Coturnix japonica: one gene and its partners. The protein of the gene in region 1 purifies or fractionates together with the protein of each later gene. This does not show direct contact. Links are inferred from orthologs where the notes say so. Each region holds a gene or a part of one and is shown on either strand. Other genes may lie near its edges.

What was found.
Region 2: the proteins of SLC22A15 (region 1) and VAPA purify together in Homo sapiens (co-immunoprecipitation; 3 studies listed by BioGRID and IntAct, with this or other methods). This does not show direct contact. The link is inferred for Coturnix japonica from reciprocal best matches to the Homo sapiens genes SLC22A15 and VAPA.
Region 3: the proteins of SLC22A15 (region 1) and VAPB purify together in Homo sapiens (co-immunoprecipitation; 3 studies listed by BioGRID and IntAct, with this or other methods). This does not show direct contact. The link is inferred for Coturnix japonica from reciprocal best matches to the Homo sapiens genes SLC22A15 and VAPB.

Annotation. Positions count from the first base shown.
Region 1 is NC_029516.1:71,983,552-71,987,932, forward strand, and holds the start of SLC22A15 (solute carrier family 22 member 15), read right to left. Parts: upstream 2,865-4,381; 5' UTR 2,740-2,864; coding exon 2,653-2,739; intron 1-2,652. UniProt on the Homo sapiens protein: Organic zwitterion/cation transporter with apparent specificity for amino acids and their derivatives. Has low affinity for its substrates and may regulate their flux across the plasma membrane at high substrate concentrations.
Region 2 is NC_029517.1:88,627,439-88,631,087, reverse strand, and holds part of VAPA (vesicle-associated membrane protein-associated protein A), read left to right. Parts: intron 1-1,602; coding exon 1,603-1,706; intron 1,707-3,312; coding exon 3,313-3,393; intron 3,394-3,649. UniProt on the Homo sapiens protein: Endoplasmic reticulum (ER)-anchored protein that mediates the formation of contact sites between the ER and endosomes via interaction with FFAT motif-containing proteins such as STARD3 or WDR44.
Region 3 is NC_029535.1:10,109,494-10,113,142, forward strand, and holds part of VAPB (vesicle-associated membrane protein-associated protein B/C), read right to left. Parts: intron 2,398-3,649; coding exon 2,245-2,397; intron 1-2,244. UniProt on the Homo sapiens protein: Endoplasmic reticulum (ER)-anchored protein that mediates the formation of contact sites between the ER and endosomes via interaction with FFAT motif-containing proteins such as STARD3 or WDR44.

The DNA of each region.
Region 1 (4,381 bases):
ACGTTTAAGTAAGCTGCCTGCTTTCCCTCAGAAGGCTTGTGCAGGAGGGCTCATTAAAGAGCAGTTTTCTGCATCATGATATTCTAATGATGGAGGTCATTAACTCGCTGCCAGCCACAAGGGGATTAGCAACACCTCTCCTCAGTAGGGCTGCAACTACATCGAGAGTGTCTTTGACTAAAGTTGAAACACTTTTCCAATAGCTTTGATACTATCCTTACTATCTTCCCTTTAGTTAGTGATAATTCCAAGCTAGAAAGAAACAACACCCTAGCTAATTATTCAGACTACCACCCAATGAAGATGTCACCTAGCTCCAAATCTCCTTCAACTGTACATATTGAGACATGAGAACAATATTTTTTCATATGCTGTTAAGCATCTGATCAAGACACGAGATTGTTCAATGTTGCTACACATTAAACAGCACAAGACAATTGTTTAATAACACTTCCTCCAAAAGGTAGCGAGAGCTATTCTAGAAATCAGCAGGCAAACAACTACGTTCAGTTCTAGGTAAAGTTATAAGTATTCTATGAGTCATCAGCTCACCTTATTGCTCCCTAACTCTTCAGTATACAAGATTAACATAGCCTACAGTTCATGAAAGTAGCCTAACCCCGTATCCTCTGTTTAAATACGGGTTTCAGGTAAGCCTATAGAATTTAAAACAAATTGTTTCTCTGATTTAGCTACCATTGTACTACTGTAAAGACAGAATCCAGCAACGCAGAACATGCCCTAAATGTCTTCCAAAGCCATTGGACTGGCAGTGAGTAAACCAAGCATAGTTTAATAAAGTAACAGCTCCAACAAGTTAATGAGTAACCACAGCAGGTAATACAGGAACAAAACAAAGTGAAAACAAATACCCTGCAGAGTTGAAAAAGAGATACCTATTAGTCTTGTACTTAGGCTAGTTTTACAATGATGACATGGAATCACAGAATGACTCTGGTTGGAAAAGACCTTAAAAGATCAAGTCATACCATGACCTAACCATACTACCCTAACAGCCCTCCACTAAATCATGTCCCTGAGCACGACACCTGAGCAGTTTTTAAACACATCCAGGGATGGTGACTCAACCACCTCCTTGTGGAGACTATTCCAATGCTTAACAGCCCTTTATGTAAAGAAGTGTTTCCTAGTATCCAATCTAAACTTCCCCTGGCACAACTTGAGGCCATTTCCCCTCATTCCATCACCAGTGAGAAGAGACCAACCCCACTCTCACTGTAAGTACTTTTCAGGTATTGGAGGAGAGCAATAAGGTCTCTCCTCAGCCTCCTCTTCCCCAGACTGAAGCCCCAGCTCCTTCAGTCGCTCATCGCAGTCACCTTATCATCATCACCTTACATCATAGTAAGGAAAAAGCAGCTTAATATGGAAGTTTATATGAGAACAAACCCACTGTAACATGAGGGAAAGCAACTACAAAGTGTTACTAAGGTCAATAGATAAGAAACATCCAGAGATAAAAGAAAGCACAAAACCTACAAGGAAAGGCAAAAACCTCCATCCGTAATATTATCTGTACTTCACATCTGTACAGGCACAGGAGTTTATATCAGTCAGAGGATGATTCCCATGGGTAAAGTTCAGGAACTCAACACGAGGAAAACAAACAGACCCATACACCTGTTACATTTCCTTCTTATAACTACCCTGAATTTATTATGTGATTTGTAAAGATACAGTCTACTTCTGACTGGAGTAATAAGTTGTTACAAAGCAAATGAACAAGAAAAAGCATTACAGAACAGTTGAGTCACACTGCCTAAAACACTGGGAATACAGAGTACTTGTCATAGTTGTAAAACATGACCAGCACTGGAAGAAATACCTAATAACTCCTTACTCCCTAACCTTCAGTGAGCACACAGGTTGTCTGGATGGCTCCAAGCTCTAATCAGTGCTTATCTTTAAATACCATTCAGATAAAGCAAAGATGGCAGAGGAAAATGAATGGGGATAAGCAGGGAATAGAAACCTACAAGGTCTTTGCCATTCAACTTCTCAGCTTTGCAAGCACATTCAGAATCCCCAACTGACTGTACCGAGCATCTAAACTTTGTTGGTTATCTTCCAGAGTTTCTTACTATCTCCATCAATCCCTTAGCTAGTAAACTAAACTTGTGTCAGATTTCAGCTGTGGTTAGCTAAGCTATGCTTAGGCCAGACTATGAAAATGGACGTTCTCTTCACATCTGCTTCATAGAATCATTTAGGTTGGAAAAGACCTTTAAGATGAACTAGTCCAACCGTGCCCACTAAGCCGTGTCCCTCAGTGCCACATCCACACGGTTTCTGAACATCTCCAGGGACAGAGACTGTATCACCTCCCTGGGCAGCCGTGCCACTGCCTCGCCACATCTTTTAAGAAGAAATATTCCTAATACCCAACCTGAAGTCGTGCTGGATCCCTGCAGAATATCCAACAGATATTGCAGCCTAGTTCATGAGAATCTCGGCTCTTAATATCAGTGCACGCTGCCCTTCATCTGACTAAGAGCAGCCTCTCACTCGGCGCACCGAAGGACACAAGCCAGAACTCCTCAAGGCACAGGCAGCAGCAGCCTCACACCCCAAGCTCACCCCGCAGCATCTCCAGCCCTGCCGCTGCCTGGAGGTCACCCGAGCCCCCCTCACCTGGAGGAGCACAGCCAGCAGGACGCACAGATACACCTGGTACGGCCCCATCTGCCCCACCAGCGGGAACGCCTCTTCCACCTCCATCCCGCCGCGTCGCGCATCCCCGGCCCGGGGCGGGCAGCGGAGCGGGCCCTCACCCCGTAGGAATGGGAAGGAGGAGGCGAGGGAAGCGGAAAGGAAGCGGCGACACAACGCTGTTAGGAGGGATGGCGCATGCGTTCATGGAGGGGGGGTGGGCGGGAAGGGAGGCTCGGCTACTCCACAGGGTGCCATTGGATGACAGGGAGGATTGGGGAGGGAACGAGTGAGGAGCAATGCGGGATAGGTTCAAAGAAGGGCAGCAAGGCTTGTGAAGGGCTTGGAGGAATCTGCCCTATGAGGAGTGACTGGGGCTGTTCAGTCTGGGGAAGAGGAGGCTGAGGAGAAACCTGGGATACCTCAGAACAAGAGAAATGGACATATCAATGTGGACCTTTTGGAGCACATCCAGAGGAAGGGCACAAAAATGATCCAAGGGATGGAACACCTCTCCTGTGAGGACAGATTGAGAGGCTGTTCAGCCTGGAGAAGGCTCTGGGGAGATCTGAGATAAGCCTTTCAGTATTTAAAACAGGCTACAAGAAAGAAGGGGACAGACTCTTTTCTCAGAATCTGTTGTGATAGGACAGGGGAAATGGTTTCAAATTAAAAGAGGAGAGACTTAAGCTGGTTATAGAGAAGTGTTTTACAATAAGGGTAACAAAGCACTGGAACAGGTTGTCCAGAGAGGTGGTGAATGCCCCAACCCTGGCAACATTCAAGGTTAGGCTGAATGGGGCTGTGAGCAACCTGATCTGTCTGTAGGTGTCCCTGTTCGTTGCAGGGAAGTTGGGCTAGTTGACTGTTAAAGGACTCTTCCAACTCAAATGACTCTATGATGCTGTATAGTTGGAATAATATAAGTATAGTTGAAATTACAGAGTAAACAGATAGCAAGAGGGTATCTAAGGAAAGACTCACCAGTGCTGAGGCCTTCAGTTGCAATGGATGCTCAACAATGTTGAGGCTCATCACAAAAACTCCAGAGAGGAGCAATCTCCAGAAAGAGATGACACCTTAGTGATGGTCAGCCCTTAAATGGAGAGGAGAGGTGGAGTCAAGCTCCATCCCTTCTGGGAGCAAAGCTGAATTACCTTCACCTGTGCTCCTGCAGCTGACCCATCACTTGCCTCAGATGGTTAATCAGAGGTTCAGGCTGTGACCAACAGTTTCCCTTACAGATGCCTTAACTATGCAATGTTCTGTAATTATACTCCATAGCACACTTGCTGAGTGTTGGAAAAAGTAAAAAGAACACAAAGAGATTTGGCAGGAGAATATTATGTGTGTTCCACTAGAGTTTGGTTCTGACCCTACCAAATTCATGCAGAGTGGCCATGAACTTTTCACGGTCCATTTTCATTGTACTTTCATAATAAAACTCCAGAACATGAACAAACTGTGATGTTGAGACTATTTTTTCCTAGTGGGACCAAGCATCAGCAGCAGTGCCACTCGTGCCTGTCATGTTTTTGTTGTATGAACAACAGCTGGAAAAAAAAGGAAGAGAGCTGCATTGTGAGATGTGACCTTTAGGCCTATGCCATGAGTCTGGGAAATAATATCATTTCCTTACTATAAAAATCTTGGCAAATTGACAAGCATCAAAGCAATTTACTCTTAATATGAAATTCACCTTTGCCATAAG
Region 2 (3,649 bases), on another chromosome or scaffold:
CCATAAGTACATAATTCATTTTATCTGAATTACTTGCATTTATCTTAGTTTTACATGAAGATGCGCTAAACTTGAGTTTAATTTCAGTGAGACTCAAGTTTAAGTGCATTGTCAAATAATCTATCTTTACAGATCGCTCTGGGTCATCATCCTCTGGTAGAAAGCTGGAAGTTCTTAAAGTTCTTATTGTCTAGACCCCTGTCTGGATTGAGACTAATTGTCTTTCATGGTCTGCTCAGTGGAGGCAGACTGTGCTGGTCATCTATTCATCCTTATACTTCAGTAGTCCTACAGTGTTACTATGACAAACCTGGTATGCTCAGATATTCCTTATACTGTGCCCATTACTCCTATAGATAGGCAACTACATCCTATAATGTTCTGGTCTAATTTAGAGACATGATTTTCAGTCACTTTGAACTAAAGAAACCACAAAAATAATGACACCAGGGTGACCTGGCTTCCCCTCTGGGCTGTTTTCTAAACAAAACCACCTTCACTAACAGGAAAGCAGCCTCCTAATGGCTTTGTACAGTTTGGATGGATGAAGATTCTGCACTCCTGTAATTGAAGCATTCCTTTAAAAATACCGTAGTAGTGTAGTAATAATTGAGATTATGAATAATATTACGTTGATATTATTTATTTTTCCACTGAAATTGTGCATACTTCAAAATAACAACTTTGAAATGTGAATTTCCCTTCTTGACCAACAGAATTTTCAACTTCAGAAAGCAGTTATTCAGAAATTGTCCTGTCACAAAAATAACCCTTGTATATTCTATCTCTGGTAATTGTAGTACGAACTCTGTATTTTAAGTATTTAATCTTTCACTTGCAGCTGCCTTTACAGAGAGCTTGGTTTTGAATTCCCTCTTTCTCCGCTGGTAATATGTAGAATTCAAATGCATACATGGATTATGAGTACTTTTAGGCAAATGTTAGCTGTTAGGCTGGACATAAGGATAATAATGTCAAAACCTGTATAAAATGTGTTTTCTAGTTATTCTCAACTAATCACTTTATCTTTTAAGAACTGAATTTGAAACTTCTCTACAGTGAACTGTTAAAGGCCTTGACAGCATTACTTCTTTTAATACTTCTGGTTTTAATTAAGTATTTTAGTAGTTGCTCCTAGCTTAGATCAGTATGCCTGTAGAAGTCAGTTGAGCTTCTACTGGTTGGTGGCTAGCCTAATGTAAGTTCTCTTCCCTTTCTCCCTTGGGTAGATGCCATGAAGTTGTTGAACTCATTCCAGAGTTCTTTTACCTTTGCATTCACTCGGTCACAAAGTGTTTATTCCAAGGGAAAATCCTACGGTGTTTATTTGCTCTTTGTCTTACAGGATGTATTTGTTTTTACTTGTATCCTAAATGTCTTCTTGTATAGTAGGTGGAGAAAGAATCTTTAAAGCTACACTGTTAAGGTGTTTCCTCTCATTACTTATTGCTACAGTGTGTATCTACAGTGTTTTCAATGTTCCCTTCACATCTTTACTTTTGGTGTCTGGTCAATGAGAATCTGATGTATAGCTTTTTTCTTTTTTTTTTTAAGAGTGATTTGATCATGTTCTTAAATGTTTTATTTTACTCTTTTGAACAGTAATGCTGCAGCCTTTTGACTATGACCCAAACGAGAAGAGTAAACACAAGTTTATGGTACAAACAATCTATGCACCACCAAATATTTCAGATATGGAGGCAGTGGTAAGTAAAAATTGGATAGTATGACTAGTTTGGATTGTTTCTTTAAAATCAGCCTTAACTTTAAGTGAATCACATTTTGAAATGTTTAGGTTTTAGAAAATTGAATTTCCTCTGAACAAATACCATTTCCATAAGTGATTCAGGGTTTTTAATACTAAATACAAGCTCAGTTCTCAGAATTTGCCTATTGAACTGTTTAAATCAAAGTACTAGTAAATCAGAGGTAAGGTCTGTTCAGTGTTTAGTTACTGTTGTATAGTATCTGGTCTGCAGCTCATTGGGAGGGAATAAATAGGTTGTATTTAAAGGAATCAAGGGTATATGCAAGCGGCAAGCCTGAAGTTGTGTGGAATGGGTACATTTGGACTAAGAAGCGTTTATCTGAAAAGTTGAATGGTATTGTAAGGAACCAAAACATTTGAAGGATTATTCTGCCTCTCTCAAAGACACCAAGTGGCTACATGCAGCTCAAATGATAGATTTATTTTCTTTATTAGTAGAATGAGTTGTGTATTCTGTTTTTGGGTGGGACTGGTCTGATGAAAGATCCAGAAAGAGCATATTTAGTTTTGCGCCTCTTAATTCAGAAGGACAACTTAGAAGCAATTGGAATGCTGTCCTTCAGTTGCAGAACTTGCTCATTAGAGTATACATGGGCTCCCATGAGCTTGTATATATCAGAGTCCAGGGGAATGATGCACAGGCCCCTGTTTCTAAACACTTCCCTGAGTTCACATGGTGATTCATGCAGTTCCATGCTCACTGAAGGCAGAGGAGGAGAAGGTAAACAAAGTGAAGATAAGGTTTATGAATCATTAAAATCCACTAAGCCTCTGCAGGCTTAGGTTCACTTCCCATATGTATGAAGGCAAAGATTATTGTGGTATTTCTCTGAACTGAAAACACTGGAAAAGTTTTTGTTAAGCTTTTGAGGCATGCAGCTACAAAAATAATGTCTCTCCTCTTTGTTGTCTGGTTTACTTATTTTAATATGCTCTGATAGCTCCTGTTTATGTGTGAGAAGTGAAGCATCAAGCATTTGGTGAGAATATAAAAATCCATTTTAGAAATACCTTTCGAATAGTGGCTTTCTCAGTGTGTTGAAGTAAAGAATATCAAGGAACAAATCTGGCAGAAAATCAGTAATAATAGATATGAGTTAGTGTGCAGTTAATGCCAACGATGAAAGAGAACTAAAGAAACTTACTGTGGAGCTAAGTATAGAATCCCTAAAAGTGTCTTTCAGTAATTTATTTAAAGTGGGTGCTTCCAGGATAGAATGTGAGGAACACATGCAATGAGCATTGATAGACCAACTCAGATGGTGCTCTATGTCTGATTGTGTCCTACAGATATCTGGATCTGCCTTGACATTCACTTGACTTGATTCCGTTTTCAGGCTTAAGTTGAGCCATGTCTGGCTTTTAATACTTTTATAGTAGTCAAAGGTGGACAAAAAGTGTTCAAAAGCAAGTCTGAAAATGTCAGCTGGGCAAGGATAGTATTCAGTTTTGTAAGAGTTATAGGGAAGCCGTAATTGCAGGCTTATGAACTGTTCAGATTTGTGTGCGACTGGCTTATTAAATAACTGTGTTACTTGTTTTAGTGGAAAGAAGCAAAACCTGATGAGTTGATGGACTCCAAATTGAGATGCGTGTTTGAAATGCCCAATGAAAATGATAAACTGGTAAGTAAGAAAAGAGTAAAAAAACCAGACAAGTTTCAACTTGTTTGAAACTTTTTCTTAAAGCTGTTTGATTTGTTGGTTAAATGAATCGTTGGAACCTACTAAATTAAATGGGTTGGGTTGTATAACAACGAATGACTGGGTTGTATAACAAGATATGGGGTGAACTACGTTAAATTTCAGGATGAGTACTGATATTCTTTGTGCATGGTTTGCGTGTTGTAGTGCAAACACATTAGTGTTGCCGTCTATTGTA
Region 3 (3,649 bases), on another chromosome or scaffold:
TCTTTGTTCAAATAAGACACGTGTAACAAAAACAGAATGGGTGCAAACAGCCTTCTTTGCCAAGTACTTACAACCAAACGCAATCAAACAGGGTGACAGCACACATACACTTCCTGACAGTTACATAAACTCAGCTGTTAAAATTACACACCATTATATAACAGGTGAAAACATGGGCTACAAACCTGACTTTGCAGCAAGCAGTGCATGCTAACTGAGACTTAAATGCTGGTATTTAGGAGCAGCTGTGATAGGGCAAAAGAAGCCAGTATCCAACACTGCAGTAGAATAAAGAAAGCTTTGCTTTTCTAGCATTTTATGTGTGCGAAACGAGCCAAGACCTGGCATGAAATAATGTTCTGAGAGCAGCCTCTAAGGACAGAACACCTTCTCGTGAACTTCAACCAAAATAGGACACGCCTGTGGAACTGCATGTAAGAAAGGCACTCAGCTGCTATGGTGCAAGGAAGACAAGGCTGCCCTGAACCCAACTGTCAGTAATACTCCAAGAAACAAATTCACATCATTGTACTTTGGCACCGACCATTCTTTGCAGGCTGGAGGTGCTCTGTCAGTGCTACTGTGTTAAAGTCAGTCAGCAGTTCTCAAGAGAACAGACTACAAGGAGTAAACACTGCCCAATTAGCTCAAGAGTTTCAATAGAAATTCAACCACAAAACGAGCTGACAGCAGCTTCTATTCAGAATGGGTTAGAAAATGAAGAATTAACATCCGTAACTCCAGAATTCTGCAACATATCTACCCATAAATCTACCTTAATGTGTCACCTGAAGGACAATGTATGCGAACTGCTTGCATTTAATACATAATGTTAATAGAAGGGCTGGTAATTTAGCAAAGTTTATTACCATGACTAAGTAAAGAGAATCATGTAAGTAAGTAAAACAAAAAATGTAAGCTCTGTGATTAAATATTCCAAAATCATTTGCAAAACTGAATCATAAGCCACAAATTCTACAATAAAAGTTACGTATAAAAGGCAAGTTTTTTCAAAGCTTTGTGAGCAAGAGCAGCATAACAGGGTAAGCACAGCAATCTTTCACAACAGGATACTGCAGGTCACGTCTTGGTCTGGTTTCTGTTTGGGATGCTGCTGGGAAGAATGGGGCTGGAAAAGCACCTCAGATACAGGTTCACACAGCACTTGCCTATCCCATGTTCTGCTCAAGGCAGAGCAAAGGGTCGCTGTAAGCAGAAGTTTAAGAAAAAAAGATGTTGAGATCAAGAAGACGTTCTAAAAAGCGTGTTACTTGCTAGCAAACATTTCTCTTTGTCCTGTCACTATCCACACTTGTAGCTTGGTAGGAGACTAATTAACAGGTTATGTGTTTTGCCATACATAACTTCTGTTCTGATCATCTTCCCATTGGCCAGTAACCCATCTGCTTCTATTACACAGCATTAAAATTTAATTAAAGTAGTAAAAACAAATCTTCAGAAATCATTCCTGTACCTCAAAAACCAGACCTGATTTCTGCAGCCTGCCACCGTGAAATGCTTTGAGAGAGTTCTTTAGATTACACAAATACTCACTCCTTTATGCTTTCAGTGTAACCCGCTCCTTTGTTTTTTCCATTACCAAACTTTGGCAAGTGAAGAACTACTGACTCATTAGAGAAAATCATTAACCTTTCATATGAAATAGCACAGTTTTAGTCACTTGATGTTTCTAGCACCAAAGCATATTACATCTCCAAGGAACACAAAACAAGCATGGTTTCAAAATAAATGTTTTCTTAACTGGTTGGTTATATTGGGTAGTCTGGCAACCAACTATCAGCCTGAATCAGCGTGGCTGCAGTCCACCCATGTGGACTGTGCCTGTCCAAGCACTCGTTAGTTAGATCCTGCAGTGAGCTGGTTCAGGAAGTTAAGCTGGCAAAAAGCAACCGGACCAAAATAATCCCACTGGGAGGGCAGGGCTGCGGCAGCACTGCCTTGGATAGGCTGGCTAAGGCTGCTACGGAACCATATAAATTATTTATATATTCCTCCTCCCTCCCTCAAAACAAGATGTCAAAACAAACCCATTACTGCTAGAGCAGGACTAAGAGAAGCGAAGATATATTTATATATATATGAAATGGCTGCTCCTCCATGAAATCGTAACCTCCTGCTTTTACAAGCATTCCACACAGTACTTCTGTATTGCAAAACATTCCAAGAAATAATTCATTTGATGACGCCATCCTCAGTCACTAAAGAACTGATTGTATGACTTACCAGAAACATTAATTGATGTTCCTGCATCAATAATTCCACTGTTAGGCCTTACACAGTATCTACGTGGTGCCGTGGTCTTAACTTTGAAGCACACATTTCTGTCTGTAGGGTTGCCGAGTTTCAGGTTTGTAGTGACAACATCTGTGAATGGACCTGAGGAAGAGCAAAAGCAGGCTTTAGATTGCATCAGAAAACACTCGACAAGTAGAGGCTAAGCAGGTTACAAATCTCTGCTCACAAATCTTATAAAGTAATTAGATGTTCAACTTCCATCTATGGCACGTACAGATAACAACACACGCAAAGCGCAGGATGTAGGGAGGCCACTGAGCATGACTGTATGCTCACAGCACAACAGCTCATCATTAATAGCAAACAAAAAGGGGGGAATCATTTATACACACTACCAACACAACAACGTGCTATTCAAATGAAGCCAAATTCTCTGTTGTATCAGTTATTCCATTCTAACTGCTGAACCACCCAGGCTTGCAGAGAAGCCATATACACCAATGTACAGACTGAGCAGGGGAGGATATCAAAACCTACAAATGTCAGTAAGCTTTACCTTACGCTCATAAACTGCACCTCCATGAAGCCTTCCACCCGCTATTTAGAAAGGCTGTGCCAAAACCAGCAAGATGAGCGTCCACTGTGCATCACATGTGCTTGTTTTTAAAGAATCCTTCTGGCTACAACAAATGATACATCAGAAGAGATCTTCATAAAAAAAACCCAGCCTCACTGAGACAGGAAACAACCACACGCAAAGAGGGGAATTCTTGGATGCTGACAGCACTGGCAGTGATTTCTGTATTAGCAAAGCCAGAATCAGACCACTGTCAAGTTTGGAAACAACAAGCAGTAACTTCTCATAGGCTTCAATACCTACTTGAAATCATCAGAATCCCCTGGGTGGGGGGAAAGGCTCATTACTGACTTTCTATAAGACACGGATAAATGAGGCAGGTGTTGTGTGACTGCACTCAGATCACGGAGAAATAAGATTACAGCACTGTAAACCCCCTTTGATCAGCTGTCTTCTGCACAAGAGAAGTTACCTGCTAACTGAATGAAATACCTTCACCTATCCTCAGAAATAGAAGTAAACTTGAAAAAGAAAACGAAACAACAAAAACCCCATCAATTCTTTTCCTTGAAGACAGGACAGCCCTAATGTTTAAAAACTGTGAATGATCATTTTTATAATTAATAGTAATAATAAATACACGCATGGTCACCCCCCTGCTCTCTTGAGAAAACAAGACAGGTTCTCAGTTGCAGCAGGGATGGATTAAAATCACCTGAGGCAGCTTTCTTTTCTACAAGTTTATCATATCAATTCATCTCTTAAGGTGCCACTGAGCACAAACAACAAAGCACTGCAGTCCTGCAGCCTCCACCT